Linked DNA regions of Mus musculus. The protein of the gene in region 3 interacts with the protein of the main gene of each other region in a pairwise test. Links are inferred from orthologs where the notes say so. Each region holds a gene or a part of one and is shown on either strand. Other genes may lie near its edges. The genes, in order: Srsf1, Ldoc1 and Nxf1.

Region 1 (4,386 bases), on a different chromosome or scaffold from region 3:
TGAGAGTAGTCAAATTTGCAGTAGATCTCCCAAAATTCAACAAGTTCTTCAGGCATTTTGCCTAGAAACCTTATACATCACTTCTGCCTCTCCCCCACTCTCACTGTCCTTGATTTCTCCAGCCAGTCTTAATATTTAATGGTTTCATTTTAAGCAGCCCCACATCCTTGGACTGTTGTAAATAAATGATAACATCCAGGGGCAGCAATGACTCAGTGACTCATCTGGTTAAGGTGCTCCTCCCAAGCCTGACGTTTCATCTCGGGGGCTCACATGGCATGAGTGGTGAACTGCACCTTATTTTCTGACTTTCACACATGGGCCATGGCATGACCCACCACCCCAAGACACAATATGCATAACATAAAAATTAAAAACTAAAAATTACAGTATAAAGAATCACCCTTAGAACCTGTGGGGATCCGACTTAGCATATTTATTAGTGATAGGGTCGACACAGCTCTGGCTGGCCTTGAACCCTGAAATTCCGCTTCCCAAAAACTTCAAGAGGCATTTACCACTACGCCTGGCTGTCTCTATCCAATCATGAAAGGCTCTGGTTTTAGCTGGGAGGTAGTGACTTTGATCCCAGCACTCAGAAGGCAGGAACTCCAGGACAGCCAGGGGTACACAGAGAAATCGTGTCTCAAACAAAACAACCCCAAAACAAAAACAACACCAAGAAAACGTTTTGTTTTTCAATATTTTTAATAGAAAGGGTTTCCCTGAATGTCCCGGGCTAACCTTTCCCCCCGCCTCCCCTTTGGTTTTTCGAGACAGGGCTTCTCTGTATAGCCCTGGCTGTCCTGGAACTCACTCAGTAGACCAGGCTGGCCTCGAACTCTGAAATCCGCCTGCCTCTGCCTCCCGAGCGCTGGGATTAAAGGCATGCGCCACCACTGCCTGGCTCCGGGATAACCTTTACTAGAACTGTGTATAACAGGGTAGGCTGGACCCTCCTTGCCTCAGCTTCCGGAGTGATAGGATTTCAGGCACACAAGCTTAAGTCCAGATTGGTTTGCTTTTATTATAATTCGAGTTCATTAACAACACTACAAGGCCGTATGATTTCACACGTAAGGCTCTTCTATTCCCGTTATTACAAAACAAAGAAGCAAAATTGTGGTATCCAATGCAAGAATCCTTTTGCAGATAATCTTGGCAAAATAAACAAATAAATAAATAATCTCCCTAGACCAGCACAGAACCGGGATCTCGGCTCTGCAGTTAAACTGTTTTATCACTCTTCCTTTTTCATCCTTAGAAAGGAGGAAGAGGAAAACTCAAGGCACAGTTTTCATTTAGATAGATATGGAGGATCCGTCTAGACACTTTAACTAAGATGCAGCCCACCGCAGGTTCCCAGAGGCAGAAGCCACACTGCTCCGCTTCGGCTTTTAAATGAAATCACCTGCAACTCCCGCCGGCGGCACCGAAGTGCAGAAGATGCCCAGGTTTCCGGAGCAACAGCTCAGCGTCATCTATCTCCGCCCCGCGGCGCCTTTCCCGCCAAAGGCCGTTACCACCGCGGAGCATGGTGGGACACGCTTGCAAGATAGGTTTCACCCAATCTTTTTAGAGCGCCGAGCTGCTTTCAGAGAGGGTCTACCCCCGAGGTGGCCGACGATTCTGGACTCAGTGGGGATTAATAATAACCGCTTTAACCAGAGCATGTGATTTTTACTAAACGCCTGGACGTTCCAGCAGCCAGTCAACCCGCCAGGACGCGAGGGACTTTTTCCCCTCCGTGCGGAGGGTGACGTCGCGCGTGCGCGAGCGTGCTTCTCAGCACCCGTTAGAGGCGTGCGCCTGCGCACTGGGAGGGACGAGCCGCTTCCTCCGGCTTCTCTTCCTCCCCCTCCCCCCCGGTATCAGTGCGCCGAGCTGATAAAGGCGCCATTTTGGAGCGGCCGCGGGAGACGTGGTGCCGCTGAGGGCTCGCTCTGCCGTACGCTAGGCTTGGTAGGAAGGCCTCTTTTTTTTTTTTTCCTTCCCCCCCCCCGAGTCCGCGCTTTTCGTCGTCGCCGCCGCCGCCATGTCGGGAGGTGGTGTGATCCGTGGCCCGGCGGGGAACAACGACTGCCGCATCTACGTGGGTAACCTACCTCCGGATATCCGAACCAAGGACATCGAGGACGTGTTTTACAAATACGGCGCCATCCGCGACATCGACCTGAAGAACCGCCGCGGGGGACCGCCCTTCGCCTTCGTTGAGTTCGAGGACCCGCGGTGAGGCAGCGTGGGGCGTGCGCGGCCTTGAGGAGATAGCGTGGAGGAGTTGGGGAAGGCTCGGAGGCCTTGGAACATAATGGGGGGAGAGGAGGGGCTCCGAGGCGCTATCGCCCCTGCAGGAGTCGAGTCAGGAGAGCCGAGAGGCGGCGCGTTGTCTCCGGTGGCCGGCCGCCTCGGACGTCCCCCCTACCCCCCGAGCCCATGCGCAGCCCCCGGAGCGGGAAACCGAGGCGCTGAGGGCCGGCGAGGTGGTCGGGAGCCTCTGCCCGGCGTGGTGCTGGGTGGGGGAAGGGCCGGCCCTATTATGCGGCGCATGTGGGGCTCCGTGTGGCCCCGTGGGTGCGCATGTGCGCTGTGGCCGCGGCTTTTCACCCCCGGAGCGGGCGAACGAGCTGGGTCCGGCGGCTCCCTCCCCTCATCACCCCCCCCTTTCGCTTTCTGTGATCACACGCAGAGACGCGGAAGATGCGGTGTACGGTCGCGACGGCTACGACTACGACGGCTACCGGCTGCGGGTAGAGTTTCCCCGAAGCGGCCGCGGGACCGGCCGAGGCGGCGGCGGGGGTGGAGGCGGCGGCGCCCCGAGAGGCCGCTATGGCCCGCCGTCCAGGCGGTCCGAGAACAGAGTGGTTGTCTCTGGTGAGTTGACTTCGTGCGGGTTAAAATCTTTTTCCCGCATGACTGCTTTGAGTACTGCAAGGTTTTTGTTATTGTTGTTTTTGTTTTGTTTTACACACGGGGTCTTGGACTACTTCGGTCTTTGGGATGAATTTAGTAAATAAAGATTACTGTGGTGGTGATTTACCCAAATTAGGTTGCAGTACTAGCCTATGAAGATCCTTTACAAATAAATTTGGACTCTGGATCTGACTCTTACCAGCTCTTTACCTGGAAACACTTAAGTACAATCATTAAGTATTTTAAAATAATCCTTGTTCGAATGTACTTTACACGTTTGCCGTGGGACAGGATGAGTAGTATTAAATTAGGGGGAATCGCTTTTTCAGGACTGCCTCCGAGTGGAAGCTGGCAGGACTTAAAGGATCACATGCGTGAGGCAGGTGATGTATGTTACGCTGATGTTTACCGAGATGGCACTGGTGTCGTGGAGTTTGTACGGAAAGAAGATATGACGTATGCAGTTCGAAAACTGGATAACACTAAGTTTAGATCTCACGAGGTAGGTTATACACTTATTCTTTTTTTTGGCCAGAATTGGATACAGTTTTCTTAACAGTGGAATTTGAAGGTAAGGATACAGGCAAGGGTGTTCACGTAAATTACCAGAGCCCTGATCTGTCTTTGTATTCGTTCAGCTTGTCTGAAGACAGGTGAAAGCTTAGATCTTTCAATGGAAAGTTCTGTCTATCCAATAGGGAGAAACTGCCTACATCCGGGTTAAAGTTGATGGGCCCAGAAGTCCAAGTTATGGAAGATCTCGATCTCGAAGCCGTAGTCGTAGCAGAAGCCGTAGCAGAAGCAACAGCAGGAGTCGCAGTTACTCCCCAAGGAGAAGCAGAGGATCACCACGCTATTCTCCCCGTCATAGCAGATCTCGCTCTCGTACATAAGATGATTGGTGACACTTTTTGTAGAACCCATGTTGTATACAGTTTTCCTTTACTCAGTACAATCTTTTCATTTTTTTAATTCAAGCTGTTTTGTTCAGAATGGGCTAAAGTGTTGAATTGCATTCTTGTGTAATATCCCCTTGCTCCTAACATCTACATTCCCCTCATGTCTTTGGTAACTTGTATTTTAAGTGATGTCATAGACAGGATTGTTTAAATTTAGTTAATTTCCATGCTCTTCAGACTGTGATATTATGTAAATGTCTATTCTGCTCTGGTTTGTGTGAAATGGGATGTTGGGGGTGTTTGTGGTTATCTTACTTGGGGGAAGTTCTTATGTTTATCTTGCTTTTCATGTGTCTTTCTGTAGACATATCTGAAGAGATGGATTAAGAATGCTTTGGATTAAGGATTGTGGAGCACATTTCAATCATTTTAGGATTGTCAAAAGGAGGATTGAGGAGGATCAGATCAATAATGGAGGCAATGGTATGACTCCAAGTGCTATTGTCACAGATGAAATTGGCAGTATTGACCTTATACTAGAAGGCGAGGGTTAAAAATTTATCTACCTTAAAAGATT
Region 2 (3,450 bases), on a different chromosome or scaffold from region 3:
AAGTTCTATGTCTGAATTCGCTTTTAAACCAGTAAAATGACATTCAGGCAGATTCAGGAAACCCTAGATCTTTCCAATATTTCCTGGTTACCGTGTATACCCCTTTACCAAGTTCATTTCAGCAGGGTAACATAATGGACTGACACACAAACAAAGCTGGGCAGATAATTCTCAGTACCTACCCTCTGGACTGTCTGAGAGATGTCAACTCACAAACTCCAGTCCAGGTTCTAGCTCAGGAGACATAAGCATCTTGCTAATTGCCACCCACAGGAAAGAAGGACAATGGATAAAACTTCTCTGCCATGTTAGGAAACTTCACTGTGCCCAGTAATATGCCTCTACTGTCAGTCTAAATGTTAATAATGTCCCTTTATTTCTCCAAAGTGACCTAATTTAAGATGATAGCCCCCCTACCCAGCCACCCTTTATATGTCACCTTGGAAGCCCCAGACAATGCTCCTTCACCACAGCTTTTAAAACCCTATGACAGGGCCCCCTGGAGCCCAAAAATGAAAGTGAGAATACTGGGATTGAACCAAGTTCCCCAACCACAATGAAATAATGGAGGTGAGTCACAATAGCCAATGGTAGCACTTAACCATGAAAAGACAACAGTTTGCTGCTAGTTTTGCAGTGCTTGATATTTATTGCAAAGAATTACATTGCTTTTTTCAAGTACTAGAGAGGATCTGGGCTGAATGCCTGTCCGTTTGCTTTTATTTTAGTAGTCCTTGTCCACATGGACACATCTGTGAGGCTGCTGCAGTTCTGAAAGGAAACGTGCTGTGCAAAACTGATGCATAGGAGAAAAGACATGTCAACATTTTAACTGTCCGGCAGGCACATCAGGTTCCTGTTCTGGTCAGGCAGATGTGGAACCTGGTAGTACGTACAGAACTAACCAGTCGGTAAAGACTGGCTGGCCCCTTCAAGGTTTGGTGAGTAGTCCAAAACAGAGTCTGAATGGGTGGAGTAGCAACTCCATCATCTTCTTGGTCCTTATCTTGAAAAGTGCTTCAGATGAAATTCGGTGAGTGGAGGTGAAATGTCAGGAATCTGCTTCTGGGCAGATGGCGGACTGGCCTGAGTTCCAGTGGATGTCAGCAGCAGGAATGCAGGTGGTCTGACCAGTTCTAATAGGGACCTGGAAAATCGCTGGAACTCCGAACAGAGTTCAGATTAGGATAAGTGCCTGAGGCCAAAGTGAGTTTCAGAGCAAGGTCCAGGCCCAACTCACAGCAGGTAACTGGAACAAAGACAAGTCCTGAAGGGAATGATGGAGCAAACAGACTGGCGGGGAAGAGGATGGCCATGCAAAGGGAGAGATTGAGGCAGCAGGAATGGCGGGTGGGGGGTTGGAATGAAAAGGCGTGAAGGCCCCCACCTCTAGGCCTAAGGGGGCTCCGGCCTAGTGATCTTCCTCCATTTCTTCCTCTTCATCATCATCACCATCATCTTCGTCGTCGGTACCCCAGCCAAAATACTGCTTCATCTCATCAACAAAGGCCTGATAATCACCGAGGACGTAGCTATTTGACTCGATGTAAGGCATCACCCACTCCTCAGCTTCCCCGGAGAGGAGGCTGATCAAGAATGCCACTTTCATGGCATCATTGCAGAAGTGCTCCTCATTCGCAAGCATGTAAGACATGGTCTGCATGATAAACTCAGGGAGCCGACCACTCTCGCCGCTAAACCGTGAGGGGTAGGGCACCGGACAGCTCGGTGGACATACCTGGCGCAGCAGCCTGGCCCGCTCACACACCAACAGTCGCAGCTGCTTCAGGAGCTGGTGGTTCTCCATGCACAGGGCTTGGTGCCTATCCAGAAGCGCGTGCAGAAGCGACAGCAGCTCTTCCACCATGGTTAACTGCTTGGACGGTCTCGGTCTCGGTCTCGGTCTCAGTCTCGGATCGGCTCCACGGAGCTGCACAGAGAGGCTGAGCAGGAAGTGCGGGTCCTCAGAGGAGTGCGGACCCTGGGCAATAAATGGAGGGGTCCCAGCCAGCGGCAGAAACTCCACCCACAGGGTCACTTTACAAACCTGTGCGCTAGCGCAGTGCGGTAAGGAAGGTGTGGCTGGGAAGGGTGCGGGATGGCGTGGGGGCGTGGTCAGGGTGGGACTGGTGGCCAGAGTGGATGTGGCTGAGGAGGAGCAGGGCGTGACCCAGGAGCTTCGCTGCGGGGTCCCGCCAGTTCTTCCACCTGGAAGTAGGAAGGCTGAGGGAGCAAAGCTTGCCACAGTGGAGAACAGATGCTCAGCCCTCAGGGCTGGCCTGCTCCAGCTGAAACTTTTCTGCAGGCAGCCTGTTCATCTAATTCAGTGTTCCTTTGTGGGTCTGTGGCCATCAGCTTCTTTAAAGTGATCCTTTCTTAACACATTTTTTTTTCTTTTTTTACTTTTTATTGGATATTTCTTTATTTACATTTCAAATGGTATCCCCGTTCCCGCCTCCCTCCCCTCAAAACTCCCTATCCCATCCTCCTCTCCCCCTGCTTCTATGAGGGTGTTCCTCCACCCACCCACCCACTCCCATCTCCCCTCCCTCGAATTTCCCTACACTGCGGTCTCCAGCCTTCACAGGACCAAGGGTCTCTCCTCCTTTTGATGCCTGACAAGGCCATCCTCTGCTACATATGCGTCTGGAGCCATGGGTCCCTCCATGTATACTCTTTGGTCGGTGGTTTAGTCCCTGGAAGCTCTGGGGGTGAGGAGTGTCTGGTTGGTTAACACATTTCCTTGCTCATTTAAATCTCACTCGGAGAAATAACGCTGACTCTGTGGGCCACCGTGCAGGAGGTCATTTGGGTTCCAAGTCTAAAAGACTCACAGGTAGACTCACTTTCATTAAATAAATAAATAGTATGCAACAAAAGACTTCTCTTTGACAAGCAATTTTGTTAACAAGATTTGCAAACACCAACCAAAGAGAAAGCACAGGCTGGACCTAGGCCTTCCTGCACACATGTAGCAGATGTGCAGCTTGGTCTTCTTGGAGGTTCCCCAACAACTGGAGCAAGGGCTGTCCCTGTGTCTGCTGCCTGCCTGCTTGAGGACCCAGTTACTCTAAATGGTTTGGCTTGTCTGTCCTCATTTGGAGAGGGTTTGACTTGTTGGGTGTGTGTGTGTGGAGGAGGATGTTATTTTGTGAGGATTTTTATTCTCAAAAGAGAAGAGAAGGTGGAATGGAGGAAAGACCTAGGAGAGGGGACACTGGGAGGAGAGGAGCGGGTTGATATTGAGATGTAAAGTGAAAAAAATAAATAAATTTAATAAAAAAGAAAAAAGAATGTCCTCCCCCCAAAAAAAGATTTATAAAATGTATACAGGGTGTCCACTTGTAAACATCCTATCTTTGATTCTTATCATGTCCTGTTTATGAGTACCTTTGTTCCTGTGTAGTTAAACTACCATGTGCACTGTTAAATAAGCCTGTCTGCCTAGTT
Region 3 (4,325 bases):
CCCAGCACCCACAGTGGTTCATGACTATCTATAAAGGAATCTGATGCCTCCTTCTGGCATGCAGGTGTACATGCAGCAGAACACTTATACATTAAATAAATTAATTAAATTAATAAACAAATATGTAAAAATAAAAAAGAGTAATGAAAGGTGAATACAATTACAACTGTGTACATGTATAAAATTACCCCCCCCCAAAAAAAACCTTAGAATTTAAAGAAAAAAGAAAACCAAAACCACCCAGAAACCAGATCCTACAAAGAAAACTAAAATGTGGAAGTATGGGCAACCCCAAAATATAACCAGATTCCTGAAAACCACCTAAAATCTGCCACTTGCATATTCTTTTGCTTATGTGTACAGTTGATGGTCACAGAACCAGATGTTATGGCCACCACCTGCAATCCTGGCAATTGGGAAATGGAGGCTTCAATTACACAAGAAATCAAAGCTATGCTGGGCTACATGAGATTCTATCCCAAAAAATAAAAAAATTCTTACAAATAGGACGTATTTAAAGTCTCCTAAAAACAACTACCGCCGGGCAGTGGTGGCGCACTCCTTTAATCCCAGCACTCGGGAGGCAGAGGCAGGCGGATTTCTGAGTTCGAGGCCAGCCTGGTCTACAGAGTGAGTTCCAGGACAGCCAGAGCTACACAGAGAAACTCTGTCTCGAAAAACAAAACAAAACAAAACAAAACCCAAAAAACAACTACCATCTCCTGCACTCGGAACTTGGGAAATGCTAGTTTCTTTGAGCAAAAATAGCCTGCACCTCGAGGGACTTATTGATTCAGGGACTGGTGCAGGTTCCACAGTAAGGAGGTAGGGAATGTTCTCCAATATAACCATTGTTTGAAGCAGGAGGATTCCGAGTTCCAGATAAGCTAAAACCCTGCCTTAAAAAGGGGAAGAAGCCAAACACAGTGGCCCATATCTTTATTCCCAGACAGTGGCAGGCAGAGAACTGTTGAGTTTTGAATGCCAGCATGGTCTACTCATTGAGTTCTAGAACAGAGAGAACTACTCATTGACACACTGTTTCAATAAATAAATTAATAAACAAACAAGCCAACCAAGTGTGGTAGTACACTGTTTAAGAAGAGGATTGGAACTACAGAGTTCAAGGCCAGACCAGGATTGAGACCTGTCTCTCTTAGTGGGTGGTCTGCATATATGTAGACAAAACAAATAAAAGGAGGGCTGAGGATATAGCCCAGTTGACAATGTGCTTGCCTATCCTATCCTTCACACACACACACACACCACCCAGGCTGAGGCAGAATTTGAAACTTCAAGTCAGTCTGGACAACTTGGTGAACCATCTCAAAAAAATAACAGCCGGGCCTGGTGGCGCATGCCTTTAATCCCAGCACTTGGGAGGCAGAGGCAGGCGGATTTCCGAGTTCAAGGCCAGCCTGGTCTACAAAGTGAGTTCCAGGACAGCCAGGGCTACACAGAGAAACCCTGTCTCGAAAAAACAAGGGATTTTCATCCTTCCTTGTCTATAGCTCTGTGGGAGAACAGAAGGCCTGGCACACAGGGAATGACCTGGAACCTCTGATCCTCTTACCTTAAACAGTGCACTACTACACTTGGTTCTATTTATTTTCCTTTTTGCCAGACCTTGAGTTTAACTCTAGGAGCCCAACCCCCCCAAAAAAAAGTAAAAGTCTATGCAATACCGAACTTGGGAAGCTGACACAGGGAGACTGACTGAGGCCAGCCTGGGATACTAGGGCTGACCCTGTAAGGGAGAATTAGCCTTCCCTAGGGATGAATTCCCTAAATGGTTATCCAATCCCAAATGGTAAGCTTTAGAAACAAATATATACACATTAACACTAAATGGGCTCTGCATGTTGGATGAATTTGGGGAGAGAGTTGACAATGGGAATGGCTAGAGAAAGGAGACCAAGTAATTATATTTGAATTAAAATAAAGGTTCATTGGGTAGCTATTTTTCAGGCCTGGATAAATCATCAGTATTACACAAATACAAAAAAGGTATAACTTTCAAAGAAATCCACCTAATATCTAGCATCCTCTAAACAACGATCCTCTCCAAGCAACCCTAGTAAAAAGGAATACATTAAGAGACAGTGAAACTACGGTTCACGGAAGAAAATTCCCACTCCAGTTACTGTGTTCTAGGCACTTGGTAGAAATTATTTCATACGCACACAAACGCACACGCACATGCACACAAACTTGGGAGACAGGTACCCACATGAAAGAGGCGGAAAACAAGGCCTGAAAGTTTAACTCACTCGGGTTTAGTACAGCCAACTCCAGATTCAAACCTCAGCTGTCATAGTGTCCTAACCACCACAATGAATTAACATGTCAGGATAGGTGTTCCGACTAGAAATTTGATAAACAATAAGCAGCAAGCTACAAGAACAGACTGATCGTATCACAAAAAGAAAAAGAAAAATAGGGCACCAGGGTAGCCCACGACCAAGCGACTACTGACTCACATTTAAAGGAAGAGTCGGGCCGCCAAACTGAACTGACAGGCATCAACCACCCTCAAAGTTGAAAGGAATCTTGTCACCCCACCCCTGAGCCACAGGTTCTCCAACGCCTGAATCCGGGCGACTCTGGAGCCCCTGGGTCCCGCGGCGCCCCGCGCCCCCTGCCCGCGCGGCCACCGCTACCTACGGACGTAGGGCTCCTCGCGGCCTCCCGCCCCCGGGCTGAGGCCTAGGCCAGGGCCGCCCACCCCAACCCACCGCGTCGCCTCCCGGCCCGAGGCCCCGCACTGACCGTTGTATGACTTCCCTTCGTCCGCCATGGCACAGGCAGGTACAGGGGCGGGCTCAGGCGCAGAACCTGACGCCACCAAACGCCAAGGAGCCTTAGCGCTCAGGACAGAATCTCTCCTACGACCGGCGCCACCGCATTTATCCGGCGAAGCACGTCGCGCGCCGCCGACGTCCCCAGGATGTGGGCGGTGCCGCGGGACGTGAACGCGCTCTCTGAGCCTGCGCAGAAGCAGGGCGGCCGCTCGGGGGCGTGGCCAGGCCCTCCGAGGCCCGCCCACGGCCGGAGCTCCGGCCGGATGGCCTATCGGCCGGCCCCGCCTTCCTATTTCTTCGCTGGCCCGGTCCCGGAGCTAAACCCTCTGCGTTAGCACTGAACTCAAGAGGAGCAGGGTCGAGGGCTACACACAAGAATGGAGACCTGGCCTCTGAACGGGAGTAACGGCCCACAGTCCCCGCCGGTGGGATCCCGGCAGCGAGTAAGTCGCAGCTCAGTTCCTTGCCAGCCGCTGGCCTATGCCCTCTTAGCTTTTCTCATCTCCACGACGAATTATGACGAAATAGAAAATTGGAATGTAAGCCCCACTGGAGCAGGAACCTTAACTAATGCGAACTTTTCTTCCTCCAGCACAGTATCATGCCCAGTGTGAAACCCAAGTGTGAATTAAACGAAATCCTGTCCTTCGTAGGTTTTTAAATTGACTAATGAAAAAAGGTCTTTTAAATTGACTAATGAAAAAAAAAGTCAAGTCGGGTGTAGTGGAGCAGGTCTTTAAACCCAGCATTTGGAAGGCAGAGGCAGGCAGATCTTTGAGTTTGAGGCCAGTCTTGGCTCTATAGAAATTTCTAGAACAGCCAGAGCTATGTAGAGACCCTTCCTCCAAAAAAAATAAAATAATAAAATAAAATAAAAAAGCTTTAGTCTTACTATCAATACTTTGTCCAGTTCAGAGATAGGGAACACTACATAGACCATCTCAAAACAAAATCAGGGATCTAGTGAGCCTTAAGCCTTGATCTTCACTTCACTCAGTCTGTCATACTGAAGCCTAATTGGTAGACCCAGGTCAGCTAGGTAGGTAGCTAGGGAAAGTTGCTAGTTTTGGGTTTTGTTTCTTGAAACAGGGTTTCTGTGAAACTTGCTTTGTAGACCAAGTTGGCCACAAACTCAAGAAATTCACCTGCTTCCAACTCCCAAGTGTTGACTGAAACTTTAATGTCAAACCCAAGAGCTCTAGGAAACTTTTCTGGTGTGGCTAGGACTATTGCAGCCTTGGATCCAGATGCTGCTGTGGGAGGGGGAAGCAGATGGGGTGCTGGTAGGCATGGAGCATGACTTGATTTGAAGATACAAAACAGGCTCAAACTTATGGGTACTGTCTTGGAAGTTGCCGCCCAATTATGAACCCACTTAGTCCAAAGGAAAACTCTTATGAAGTGCTGCTGTACTTGGCTACTCGCTTCTAGGGGGGAGTTGTGTGTACAGAGCTCCGGAGCTACCCTGCCTATCAGTAGGGGCCCATCAGAGTCACTGACTTAACCCTTTTGGTTCTGGTATTG

What was found.
Region 1: the proteins of Nxf1 (region 3) and Srsf1 interact in binary tests that used the Homo sapiens proteins (3 or more experiments, as listed by UniProt). The link is inferred for Mus musculus from reciprocal best matches to the Homo sapiens genes NXF1 and SRSF1.
Region 2: the proteins of Nxf1 (region 3) and Ldoc1 interact in binary tests that used the Homo sapiens proteins (3 or more experiments, as listed by UniProt). The two-hybrid records come from large-scale screens. The link is inferred for Mus musculus from reciprocal best matches to the Homo sapiens genes NXF1 and LDOC1.

The regions. Positions count from the first base shown.
Region 1 is NC_000077.6:88,045,804-88,050,189, forward strand, and holds the start of Srsf1 (serine/arginine-rich splicing factor 1), read left to right. Parts: upstream 1-1,569; 5' UTR 1,570-2,035; coding exon 2,036-2,229; intron 2,230-2,686; coding exon 2,687-2,871; intron 2,872-3,239; coding exon 3,240-3,412; coding exon of another isoform or gene 3,413-3,466; exon of another isoform or gene 3,467-3,608; coding exon 3,609-3,803; 3' UTR 3,804-4,386. UniProt on the Homo sapiens protein: Plays a role in preventing exon skipping, ensuring the accuracy of splicing and regulating alternative splicing.
Region 2 is NC_000086.7:61,708,127-61,711,576, reverse strand, and holds Ldoc1 (protein LDOC1), read right to left. Parts: upstream 1,967-3,450; 5' UTR 1,868-1,966; coding exon 1,412-1,867; 3' UTR 627-1,411; downstream 1-626. UniProt on the Homo sapiens protein: May have an important role in the development and/or progression of some cancers.
Region 3 is NC_000085.6:8,755,704-8,760,028, reverse strand, and holds the start of Nxf1 (nuclear RNA export factor 1), read right to left. Parts: upstream 2,927-4,325; 5' UTR 2,798-2,926; coding exon 2,770-2,797; intron 1-2,769.